Linked DNA regions of Drosophila melanogaster. The protein of the gene in region 1 interacts with the protein of each later gene in a pairwise test. Each region holds a gene or a part of one and is shown on either strand. Other genes may lie near its edges.

Evidence for each region. The genes of interacting proteins can lie anywhere in the genome.
Region 2: the proteins of Mst89B (region 1) and BomBc3 interact in a two-hybrid assay, tested with the Drosophila melanogaster proteins (one large-scale study listed by BioGRID).

Annotation. Positions count from the first base shown.
Region 1 is NT_033777.3:16,265,412-16,273,442, reverse strand, and holds Mst89B (Mst89B), read right to left. Parts: upstream 6,432-8,031; 5' UTR 6,348-6,431; coding exon 6,281-6,347; intron 6,221-6,280; coding exon 6,006-6,220; intron 5,931-6,005; coding exon 5,103-5,930; 3' UTR 5,010-5,102; downstream 1-5,009. Other genes in the region: Mat89Ba (maternal transcript 89Ba), read left to right, coding at 1,109-1,147, 1,204-2,582, 2,636-2,746, 2,803-4,043, 4,103-4,506, 4,573-4,980; asun (asunder), read right to left, coding at 6,897-7,089, 7,150-7,455, 7,520-8,031.
Region 2 is NT_033777.3:22,084,512-22,089,001, forward strand, and holds BomBc3 (bomanin bicipital 3), read left to right. Parts: upstream 1-2,671; 5' UTR 2,672-2,691; coding exon 2,692-2,749; intron 2,750-2,806; coding exon 2,807-2,848; intron 2,849-2,917; coding exon 2,918-3,114; 3' UTR 3,115-3,990; downstream 3,991-4,490. Other genes in the region: BomT3 (bomanin tailed 3), read right to left, coding at 1,092-1,354, 1,722-1,812.

The sequences.
Region 1 (8,031 bases):
TCAATGGGCCTCCTTTCTGCCAACGCATCATTTTATAAGGTTTGCTTTGATCTTTACGGAATGAACGACTTGTGGGCTTTATTAATTAGGCAACTTTTAACTGCCGATTTACCTTTTATACAGTTTTGCACGCATTTTCATTACGCCTCATTTTTCACCCATACACTCTCACACGCACGCACGCACGCACAGACACAGTTACACACGTTCGGACCGAATATTGAAATTTGCAACTCGATTTGCTACTGTGCGCTCGTCGATTTCTGGATAACAACTTAGTTCACTACTTTTTATAAATTAAGCTGGGCTTGTGTTTAACTGATTTTCTACGAAACAATCCTCGAAAGACCAAAAAACGCACGCAAGAGAGCACGAGAAAAATGGTGCGATTTTTTCCCCTGCCTGCAAACACACACACACACGCTTATACATGGACAGAGACGGAGTAAGACCGTATAGAAAAACGAGGGAAATACTCTAGGCTGATTTAATGCTGATTACTGGTAAAAGAAAAATGGGATAATTTAATTAGCTTTTCCCGTTTATTTTAAACAGATACTTATATACTTGTGCTAAAGACAGAACTTACCTAAAGCCCTCTTTACATAAAAGATGTTTAAACATAATTATGAAATAAAAATACTGTTTAAAATACTGTTGCTGGCGAAACCAATTAGCCGGTAAATTTGTTTATCTACTCTTTAAAACTGTATAGGCCCACGGTAATATCTTTCGCGTTTAACTGATAATTTGTTTTTATAATATTATAAATTTTATCTTATTTATTGGTCCTGGATCCAAGGATTTCTCGGCAATTGGTATAGACATTTACACTTCACATTGTCTAAATTTGTAACTTATTCAACAACTGTGTACCATGCAATATATTTTGCTCTAATTTATTTAGTGTATAAAACCTTTTCAATATTTTAATTATAATTACGTTCGACACTGTTTTTGCGGCTGATTTGGGACTAAAAAACGAATCTGCCCAGTTCTAGGGTGACCATACAAAAACCTCTAATGAAATACCGAATTCTGAAATACCGCATCTGCAACACGTGCGAGTTTAGCTCTCTCTCCAACAAGTAAATAAATTTTATATTATATGCGATTTGTACAGGGAAACATCATGCCAGGAAAGTTGGTAAGATTGTCTAGATCTTTATGGAAACTATTTGGCCTATAACATACTTTGTTTAGGTGGGCTCTCCGAAGGGAGCTGCTCGAACAGGTACCCAAGCAATTGCACATGCCGGGGATCACAGCGACCTTGATGAACCAAAACCCAAAATCGCCAAGAGCGACCCACCATCCACTGCCATACCAAAGAAGAACAACTTCAAGCAGAGAGAAGGTACCAAGAATGTAAAGCCGCCCACTTTGGAGGAGATGAAGGAGCTACGAGACACCCAAAATCTCTTCCACTCCAATCTCTTTAAGCTTCAAGTTAAGGAAATGCTGGAGGAGCTGCAGTTAAAGCAGAAATACACAGATTTCATTGAAAACTGGCTTGAATCCTTTACGGCCTTTACCCGACAGCTAAAGGATGGCTTGATGGAGCGTACCCACTTGGAAGTTCCAATGAAGCTTTCTGAAAAGCCGACCGGATTTGTTTTCTCCAAGCCCACCAGGGAACCTTATCTGATCGGAGCCGCCGCCACGGGCACTTTGCTGGGTCCCAAAATTGTAGTGGATGTGGCCCTGGAGATGCCAAAAGAATCCCTGCACAAAGAAGATTACCTAAACCTTCGCTATGACCAGAAGCGAGCTTTGTATCTTACTTATGTGACGGAGAGGATGATGGAGTCCCCAGATTATGCAGAAGATCAGTTTAATTTCAACTACTATGCTAACAACCCGCTTAAGCCGGTTCTGGAATTGATCCCAGTTACTAAGCAAGTAAACAAGCACCTGCAAGTGCGTCTGTTCATCACTGCCCCATTAAGCAGTTTTAAGCCAGGCAGATTTGTTCCCTGGAACAACAATATTCGGCCCTCGTTTTACGGTGACGAATGGGACGAGAAAGATCCGCTGCCCTCCACCCAACACTACAACGCAAACGTACTGTTTGATCTAACTTTGTCCGAGAACCAGGCTCAATTGGATAAGGCCTTTAAGAGCAGGCGTAATTTTCAGGACGGCCTGCTGCTCCTTAAAGTATGGTTGCGTCAGAGGCAACTGGACATAGGTTACAGTGGGTTTGGTGCCCACATCTTAGCCGCTTTTATTGTGTACCTAAATACGCAGCGCATTCTGCATCAGTCAAGCAGCAGTTACCAAGTGGCACGCACTGTATGGAACCAACTGGCGAACACGGACTGGACGAAAGGCATTAGCCTGTCTGTTGCTCCCATTCAAACGGAAGAATTAAACAAGTTTGCCGAACACTATGACGTTTGCTTTATAGACTTCACTGGACAGCATAATCTATGCGCAAATATTCCGCTTTACCTGTATCAGAGAGTTCGAGAGGAGGCCAAACTGGCGGTGGAACTACTGAACGACATGAAGCTAAACAGTTTCCCGCTTATCTTTATGCAAAAGTGTCCACTGTACAGCAGGGTGGATAATATCTTAAAGTATGTGAAGCTAAAATGTTAGTTTTTCAATTATAAACTTTATTTTTCCCCAGGATTTCCAATTATTCATGCATAAATCAAATGCTTACACTGCATTCGCATCCTCGAATTAAGTACGATTTTGCTAATTATGGTTACCCGCAGCTGCTACATTTACTGACTGAGTGAGTTAACTAAGCTAAACAGGCAACTTACAAAGAAATAATAATCATAACTTTAGGCTCCTTAAAAAGGGACTTGCTGAACGTGTCCACTCCATACTACCCTTAGAAACTGCGACAGCCGCCTGGCCTGTGGAAAAAAAAGCGCCCGTTATTGGGAAGTATATTCAACTGGGCCTTATACTTCAGCCAGAGCACGCATACCAGGTGTTAAACAAAGGACCTGCTGCCAACGATGATCATGAGGGAGCTGAGGAATTCCGACGGTTCTGGGGAGAGAAATCAAACCTACGTCGGTTTCAGGATGGCAGCATCACAGAAGCTGTGGTTTGGGGGACCGCCCAGGATTCACCCGCCAAGAAGCGACTAATTGTTCGCCAGATTGTGCTGCATCTATTGGAGCATCACCTACAACTGGACAGCAAGGAAGTACAATACATTGGCGGCGAGTTGGACCAAGTCTACCAGCTGTCTCCTTGGTTTAAGGTCAATAAGCTAAAGACCAAGCTGCCATTGGGTCAAGATACCGACGCAGAGGCACTTAGTCCGCACGTCATCCGCTGCTATGATGAGTTGGCACGCCAACTACACGGGCTGAATGATCTTCCTCTAGAGATAGTCTCCATATCAGGCGTCTCGCCCATTTTCCGCTACTGCGAGCCGCAGCCCGTTCTCCCACAGGCGCTTCTGGTAGAAAACCGCATCCTGGCAAGCAGCATTCAGCGTGTGGTAATCCAGCTCGGGCAAAGCGGCAAGTGGCCCACTGAACTTGGTGCACTGCGTGCTCTTAAAACTGCATTTCTTATCGAAATTGGCGAAAAGTTGGAAGCGCAGTGCCGGCTTCATTGGGTGATGTCCGCCGACGGTCTGCTCGTACTCAAGCAAGGTTACTGCTTCCTTATAGAGCTGGCACACAACAAGGAGCTGGCGCTGCTGAAGCAGGAAGTTACTGAGCGTGGCATAACTACATATATAGACAATGCAGCCAGTCGTTCCTTAGAGCGTCAACATTATATTCTACCCAAAGTAAGTGGGGCTCTACATTCGCTTCATCAAACTTACAGCGCATTTGGTTCCACTGTGCTGTTGGCCAAGCGCTGGCTGGCCACACAACTGCTGGACGATGGCTTGTGGCCTGATATGGCTACTGAGCTACTGGTGGCGCATCTCTTTCAGCAGCGGTATGCACCGCAGTCCATAGCGGCACCTCAAACTGGATTCATACGTTTCCTGCAGCTGCTTTCCCATAGCGATTTTAATGGCGAACTCTTCCTGCTAAACTTCAACAATAGCTGGCAGGGTAAGTTCTTTGTTACCACTCCATAATGTTATAAAATAATTCAACTTTACGTTCTCAAGAACAACAAATTGCCGATCTGGAGCACAACTACCGCAGCAACCGTCAAAGTTATCCTCCTTTGGCTGTGGCCACCTCTTACGATATGCAGCATGCCGGACGATTGTGGACCTCGGATCAGTCACCCAGTCAACGGGTGCTTGGACATGTGACGCGACTGGCCCGCCATGCGCTCGAGATTATTGAAACCAGCCTGATGTCGAAAGATCTGAGGTTTGTGCGGCCGGCCCAATTATTTCGAGCTTCCAACGAGGGATACGATCTGGTTATCCAATTTAAGCCAGATCTCGTGCCGAATTCCTTAAGCTACGATCTGGGGTCACCATTTGTTTCATTTAGCCAGCCAAACTTTAGCTTGCCCCGCGCAGGATCAGATTACATTGCTCGAATTGTGGGACTACTAAGAGTAAGATGTTATAAAGCAGCCAGCTTTGTATTTGAAAATTCTCATTTCCCTTCTTTTTTCCGCTAGTCTGCATACTCCGACTTTGCTGCGTTCTTTTACAATCCGCACGGAGGCAAGGAACTGGGCATTGTATGGCGGCCACCAACGGAATTCGCTGCAAAGCCATTTAAGGTCACAGAGCTGCAGGCATGCAGTCCTTGTGGTAATAAAAAGGTTCAAGTTCTCAAGGAAACACTGCTCGAGGACTTCAAACTCTTACTGAAAGATTTCTACCTGCGCATCGCCACACCAGAGGAGCTCAAACGGGAACAGCGCGAGCATCAGAAGCCCATGCGGTACTTTGATGCCAACAAGGCAGAGGAGGAGTCGAAGCCAAAGCCGAAAAAGCATAGGCAACGCAAGGGCACCGGGAAAAAAGCACTACCCAAAAGGAAACGCCTAATAAAAAGCTCAACCCTTAAGGTCTTGAAATAGTTATAGAAATATGTAGCTAAACCGTTACTAAGTTAAAAAAATAGCTTTAATTTTGGTTTAAAAAAAAATGGCATATAGCAGCATAAGAAATCGCGAAAAACGGTGATATAAAAACTATAGCATTACTGATGTTTACTTATGGACGCGTTTTGACTGAGCTCCTGCTGAAGTATTTCGTGATCAGGATTGAGATTCGTCCAACCCGTATGTTTGGAGACTGATGGCTTGGAGACTTGAGCTCGCGGATAGGGATTTTGGCCCAACGGTATCGTTCTATAGAAATGAGGTTCCACATGAGGTTCAAAGTTATTAACCTGGGTGCAGAGATCAAAGCGGATATGTCTAGATGTGCAAGGCTGCTCCTGTGGTGGTACGGGCGACTGAACTTGAGGTTGCATTGGTACTATCAACGTCTGATCCGTGCAGGTCGGTTGTGACTTACAGTGCTGACAGGTGCTTTCCACCGATGAAGTGTAATCACATTCAGCTGATGTGTAAGACTCTGCTGAGGTCGTTTCAAATAGGTCGCTATATGTACCGCACCCGGTGGAGTTTGTGTTGCGCTGAGCCTGGCATCTCGAGTTAGCGGGCTCGTTCTTCATATAGGTATTTTCACTGAGACAGCTCTGAGTTTGGCAACCCACATTCTGTGGAGCCTTCACAATAGAAGTTCTAGTTGGGGTGGCGGTGTCCTTCGTTTGGCAACTCGCATTCCGAGGCATCTCGCGCTCCACAGTTGTCTGCGTTTTGGCAAACATTTGAGTTTGACAGCTCGAGTGCTGCGTCTCGCACTTGGGGCAGTGCTGGCATCCAGTGTTTGTCATCAACCCGGATGTCGAGGTGCCGGCATCGTAGCAAAGTGGTAAACGGTGTTCAGATCCCGACTTTTTCTTTGACCAAACCAATTGAGTAGACACACTTGCAACTGTCTTCAGCGGGTTCGAGGTTTCCTGTAGAAAAAGACATGTATCATTGGTCGACTTTGCAGGGTTCACATCCTCTTCGATGTCCATTCGCATACAGACCCTTTTGTCAGAAGCATTGCGGAGAAGATCATCCAAAGTGCAGAAGTGCGTGGTGTTTGGCGGGGGGAAATAAACCGCACCTGGCGAAGAAGTATCCAAGGGAAGAAACTGCCCGTTGGGTCCTACACGACTGTAGCTTATCACTCGCGTGTCTTCCACACGACGAATGTCCTGCTGGGTGAGCACAATAATCTCATTGCCAACCATTATGGGAACTTACCGAAGAAAAGTTAGTCAATACTCTGCATATTACAATAATCAATATCGATGCTCACTGTGAACAGGTGGTGCCCCCTCCTCCGCTACCTGCATCACTTTTCTCGTGTTAAAATTGTTCGCCATTGCCAAAGATTACACAAATTTTGGAAAATATTATCAAATTCGATCTGAGAATTTAGCGTTTGAATACAATTTTTTCTATAAAACACCAAAGGAGAAAACGATATTTTGATTGGCCACAAATTTGACAATTTGACAATTTCGAAATTTTAAATTCAATAGTTAAATCCGTTTAATAAATAAACGAATTTTATTTATAATTATATTCTGGGTACTTTTCGTTTTTATTACCGTGCCAAAGATCACAATCACAAGTTAAAAAAAACTCATTGGCCCATGTTTATATTTTCTTAAGTTAAACAAACAGTTTGAATCATAAACTAATCCAATTTGAGGCAGCTTAAATAGAGGAATTATAATGTCGTCTTCCACAGTAATGTTGTCCCAGTCTTAAAGAAGCGATTATACGAAACTCAGAAAAATACTTCATTTTACATTCAAATTAATTCCTATTAAGCCGTACACTAAGCATTGTTTAAGGAAATGATTATGTTTCTTTTATATATATATATACTACAGTCCCAGCTTAAATTCGGCGTTCTCCGTGCCATTTTAACTACGTACGGATTCCTCCTTAACATTGGGCGTAATACTGGCCCCCGTCGTAACTGTGTCTTTGTCCTTGGTACCAAAATCCGGATACAGCTTGGCCACTTGACCCAACGGAGTGCAAAGGCGTCCCGAGAAATCCAATCGTTTGTTGGACTGGCTTCGCTCTGCTGAGGATATAATATCTAGCAGGGATCTGGGGACAAATATTGCGCGAATTAAGGACTCTATCAAGAAATACATACATACGACATACCTTTGCCCACAACTAGACATGCGACGCTTGCTCGCCTTGAGAAGGCTATTGGAGCTGCTGCTGCCACTAGCACCGACGCTACTGATGGGCTCCAGCCGTTCGGGAGAGAGTGGGGATTCCGTGTAGGTGCGCAGGAGACTTGCTCCAGGTTCCGACTTCAGCGGGGCATCGCCGTATGCGGCTCGCAAACTCTGTAGGCTTTCCAGCAGATTTTTATGGTGCATTGTGGTGGCATTTAGTTGAATTAATTGCTCCAGTTCCCTGTACAGCAAGCGGTACTGGTCTTTGGCCTTGGAAAGCTTTAGTCTGAAATGAGTTAATTAAATATAAAAAATTGAAAATATATAAAAGATATCTATAAATTGCTTACCTTGCTCCATTGGTGTGGGTAAATGGTAGGACATCGCCACGCGAGGCGCTTTTGTACAGCTCGTGAATGTGCTGCTGGCACCGCACCTCGTCCTGCTTATCCATGTCTTCCTTCACTAAAAGATGGAGAAAATGCGGAAGCCAACTGATGTGTCGCTGTAGATGGAACAGAATCGAAGAGCTGGTGGTCAGGGGGAAGTAGCGAGGCAACCGGCGCGTCAAGGGCGGAGCAGATGGATCCTTAACCTTGAGCGGAACCACGCGCGACATCTTGATCAGTTGACCAAGTTCGGCGGTGCGATAGTCCGAGACACGTCCTCCGGGGCCATCAGTAATTGATGGAGCCTCATCCATGCAGGAGCGCGTGATGCACAGGGAGTGCACAAAGATCTCGCCACCGCGTGCAGAAAGCATATGGCTGGTGGCCTTTGAGCCGGTCTTGCGCGGCATTTCCAGCAAGACTGAACGTCCGTTAAGCAGAAAGTTAATCAAGCAAGAACTGGGCCGCGAGGT
Region 2 (4,490 bases), 5.8 Mb from region 1:
ATACTAATATCAATGTTTAATGGGTATATATTTAATAAAAGCATGATTTTCTTAGAAAATTAATCTAAGCCCAATGTGCTACTTCTTCCACTGAAAACCCGAAGCTACTTTACTGACACTGAAGATTTTCGATGTGCGCATTCTACTTCTAAAACTACTACTACTACTAAAACTACTCATTCTAAAACTACTGATTGCACAGGCTATAAATAAAGTAATCTTTAAGCGTATCTACTTTGAAATGGTTATTTTCGTTTCGAATGTGTAATTATACATGTGCTGCAAGAGTCTTAACTAAACATATATCCACGAAATGTACTATTTTTAAGCGTGCACGCAACCTTTTCTTAAATGCAAAAGAACCAACTTAAAGAAAGGAAGTCCTTGAAAACTGTTTAACAAAATGCATGCTATGATACCGATAATTATACTTAATGACCCTTAATTTGATTCCGGTTCATTTGCTTCAGCTTAGCTCACCAAAAGCTCGCCGAACGAACAAAAATCGAACTTGTAATTGTATCAATTAAGTGCTTGTGGATTCACCGAGCGGTTCTTTTGGTTCAACTTTTTGGAAATTCGATGCCCTTGCATATTTAGCCAGGGCAAGTCCTTTAATTAAGACTGACAAGCAGGATGGCTGAAACTTTGAAGAGCTTATGAATTATTTCCTTTGCAGGACTTTGACTCCTTCAACCGAACAGCACAGTCGGTTTTATGGCTTTAAGGGTATATTAATCATCACTCTTGAACAGTTGCTACTCATTTATACGTGTCTGAACTGAATTACAATGAATACCAATTATAAAATGCACAGGAATTAAGGATATTATTTTTAGAAGCTATAGGTGGCATGCCATTTATTAGTAGCGTTAGCTGAGTATTTGATAAGTTTATTCACTAGTTTTACTTTAACAGAGGGACTTGTTTTTAACCTTTAACAAAACCTAACAAAAGCTCATTCTGTAAGTATATAAAAGTAGTCACCGCTGATAAAATATATATTTTTTTTATTTAAGTCTATATAATCTAAGTTTCAGACGATGCTTGCTCTTCGCGCTTAGCGCTAGCAAAGCTTCGAGATTATAATCTCAGCCGCTTATAATCTGCGTAAGACCGCCATCATCGTAGCCACCTCCACCGCCGCCTCCGTAGCCTCCTCCACCTCCTCCTCCGCCGTTACCATAGCCGGGTCCAAAGTTGCCCGAATATACTGGACGACGGCCACCTCCTCCACCTCCGCCGCCGTTGTAGTATCCTCCACCGCCTCCGCCTGCGTTGTATCCACCTCCTCCTCCTCGTCCTCCGTTGCCACCTGTGTAGACTCCAGGTCCTTGGCCTCCGGGTGGATTACCTAATAGTGATATTTAAATCAGTTTCTTGAGGAGTAGTAGTTACTTAATTGCGCGCTAGCTACTGCATTTTTTACGCAAGCCAGCAAATGTACTATGCGCTATAGAAATTAAAAGCTTAAAGCTAAGTGTTCGGAATTATATTATTCATAAACTTAACCAATAACAAATGTTTAGAGTATCGTTAATAATCACTTAATGACTTTCGTTGCCAAGAAATACCATAATATAATAACAAATTGATTGTTCATTCAAACTTTCGCTAATGAAAACACAAAATTTCCTTTTAAACTATGCCTGATGTGGCAGCGACGAAAATCGTTGAACAATTTTTGAATAAATGGCCCAAATTAATAGGCATTGACTTACAGTCGTAGCAACCGCCACCGATGTAAACAGCCGCCTCCGTTAGAGCCAGTGCAAAAAAAGCGATAATCGCAAATGCCGTCAAGGTTCTCATTGTGGCTGGTCTATTAGAACGTCGAACTGGTCTGGACCAGGTACGAACCGCAACAGCAGCTTATATACGATGCACTCATCGATTCCGATTCCGATACTGAATTTGAATTCGAATTCAAACCCAAACAGACCTTATCGCTGCAAAGAACTATTGCTGTGCAAACAAACCACTACGTATGTATTAAGTATTAATCTCAGGGAATTGCCCGCGGATGGGTTTCAAAAACAATCTGTAGCGCATCAGTTGGTCAGTCGTATTGCATTCAAGATACTCTACGTTACCTTTTTAACATAACAAATACACAAAATCTGTAAAATCTATAATAAGTCAGACACTTTTCATTTCTACAAAGTTGCAAAGATTTATTTTTAATGAAATGTATTTGTTTTCAAATATATTTTTTGCTTTTTCATTGTATTAAGTATCTTATTATTTAAATATAAATTGTTAGCTTTAGAACTAAAGCTTCTACATTTCACTCACGAGTCACGACTTTCGGTTCTGTAACCAGTTTTCCTTAGATGTATGGATAAAATTTAATGGTGTGCGATTCTCTGGAATCGCTTGCCATTCATGTTTACGTCTGGGAATAATTGTAAACCGACTTTTCGGGGCGTGACTGTCATAAGTTTCTTTGAAGAAGTTCAAGGAAATCAACTACGTCGACCTGATGCCACAAAACCGTGTGCGGAAAACCCCATCGAATTGCGATTTGATAGTGTTCTAGTGTGAAATTAATTTAAATATATTGTTCAAATACAAATCGAAAGCTCCAAACGCTTAGGCTTATGCAAATCGATTTTGATTCGGATCGAATCAAGTGCCGGACTATATAAGTAGCGTGAGAGTCGATACGGTCATCTATCTATCGGCTTTAATATGAAGTACCTGACGTGTGTGCTGCTCCCGTTGGCTTTAATTCCGACTCTGATCGGCGGTAAGCTGGACGGGATTGCTGCTGACGCTAATTGATACACACTGAAATTATTTCCAGCTCATCCCAGCACAGTGGTGGTGAATGGCGTCTGTCTGACTTGTAAGTTGCGATTGTTTTGCCAGCTAGGCAATTGGACAACTTAATGAATAATAATATGCACTCGAAAAGGTCCCAATCCGAATGGTGAACCCGTCTACCTGGATGGCCAGCAGTACCGCAGCTTCTCCTCATCCCCTGGCGATGGTAATGTGGTCATTTCCCGTGGAAATGACGGTAGTGGCGGTGGAGGTGGCACCATTTACCGGAGGGGTGGTAATACCATCGTCAATGGCAGATGTCAGCACTGCAACGTGGATCCCTATTAAAGGCTTAAACAATAAAGTCTGAATATTGAATTAAAATTGCGCACATATCGATCAATCCATTTCATACTTACACTTGGCTATGTACAACATCATTTAGCTAAAAGCATTGACAATCGTTCAACCCAGTCTCTCTGCAAATTCGATGAATGTGATGGTTTCGAGTGCAGAGGGCATCATCTGATGGAGGCAAAAAATGGAAAAATGAGCGTTTTATATTCAGTTTTTGTTACCACGAAGTACACGTGGAGAAACATGAAACATCCGAGTTATTTTATGCTGCGAAAAAAGCGTGAAGAATGTTATAATTGCTTTTGGTCGAAATATTCAGTCCTGAAAATCAAATTTTTCACATTTAAAATAAGAATTTTTTTTAACGATTTCCAGTACCTCATTGCGTGCACTGCGAGCTGTCTGTTTGTGAACATTGGCTTCTCTCATCCTTCTCAAAAATAAGTGATACAAAAGCGTTACATTTTCAAAAGCCTTGGTTTCAAAACAGTCTGCAAATAAGGGAAGACCCACGGATTTTGTGACGGAAAAATAGAGAAATTCGTGCTGCCAATGGCATCGATTGTTTGAACTTCAGCTAGTTGCCACATAAACTGGGCTGGGAGCTGACGTCGCTGTCTCCAGAGTATTGCACAGCATCGATAATCAAATGCGAGTAACCAACCGTGCAATTTACGCCAGTGGATGTGTTGTCAATGAAAACGCTGGCCTGATGTAAGGGTGCTTAAGGTTGCGCGTGCCACGTGGCGTATACGTAATGCTACTGCAGGAACGGCAAACAGAAGCCTCTCAAATATTTGCTTTGAAACTAACTACTCGACAAACAGTAAACACTTAGTGCATACACACACACACACACACACACACACTTCCCAAGAATATTTTGTGCAGAAGTTTCGAATAAAACTGATGCTGTGTTTTTATATACAGAATAAGAAGGGAAAAGTTTCATTCAGGCTTAGCATGCGAAAACAATTAAAATTGTAAAAGGATTACTTAACAATCATACAATTTTGATTTAAGCGTATAACTTAAGAGAATAGTATTGATTCCCGGACATCCAAGAATAAAAACCTAAGCTTTATTTGCAATTAAAAAAAAATACAATGCATTGAAATCAATGGACTGCCCTTGCGGATGTGCTAAATTCAGAAAAACGCTCGACTGGCTTAAAATTCAATGAACATTTGGGTGGCATAACCATACCAATCGTAAAGGGTTTCGATACACTTTCTCTGATTTACTTTTAATACACTTTATTGGCAGAAATGTGTCGTTTCCTATCTTTTTGGGTCACAAATTGTTTACACGCAACTTTAGAAGCCCCATGAAGCTGAGGAACTCAGTCCTAGTCCAGAACAGGGTGG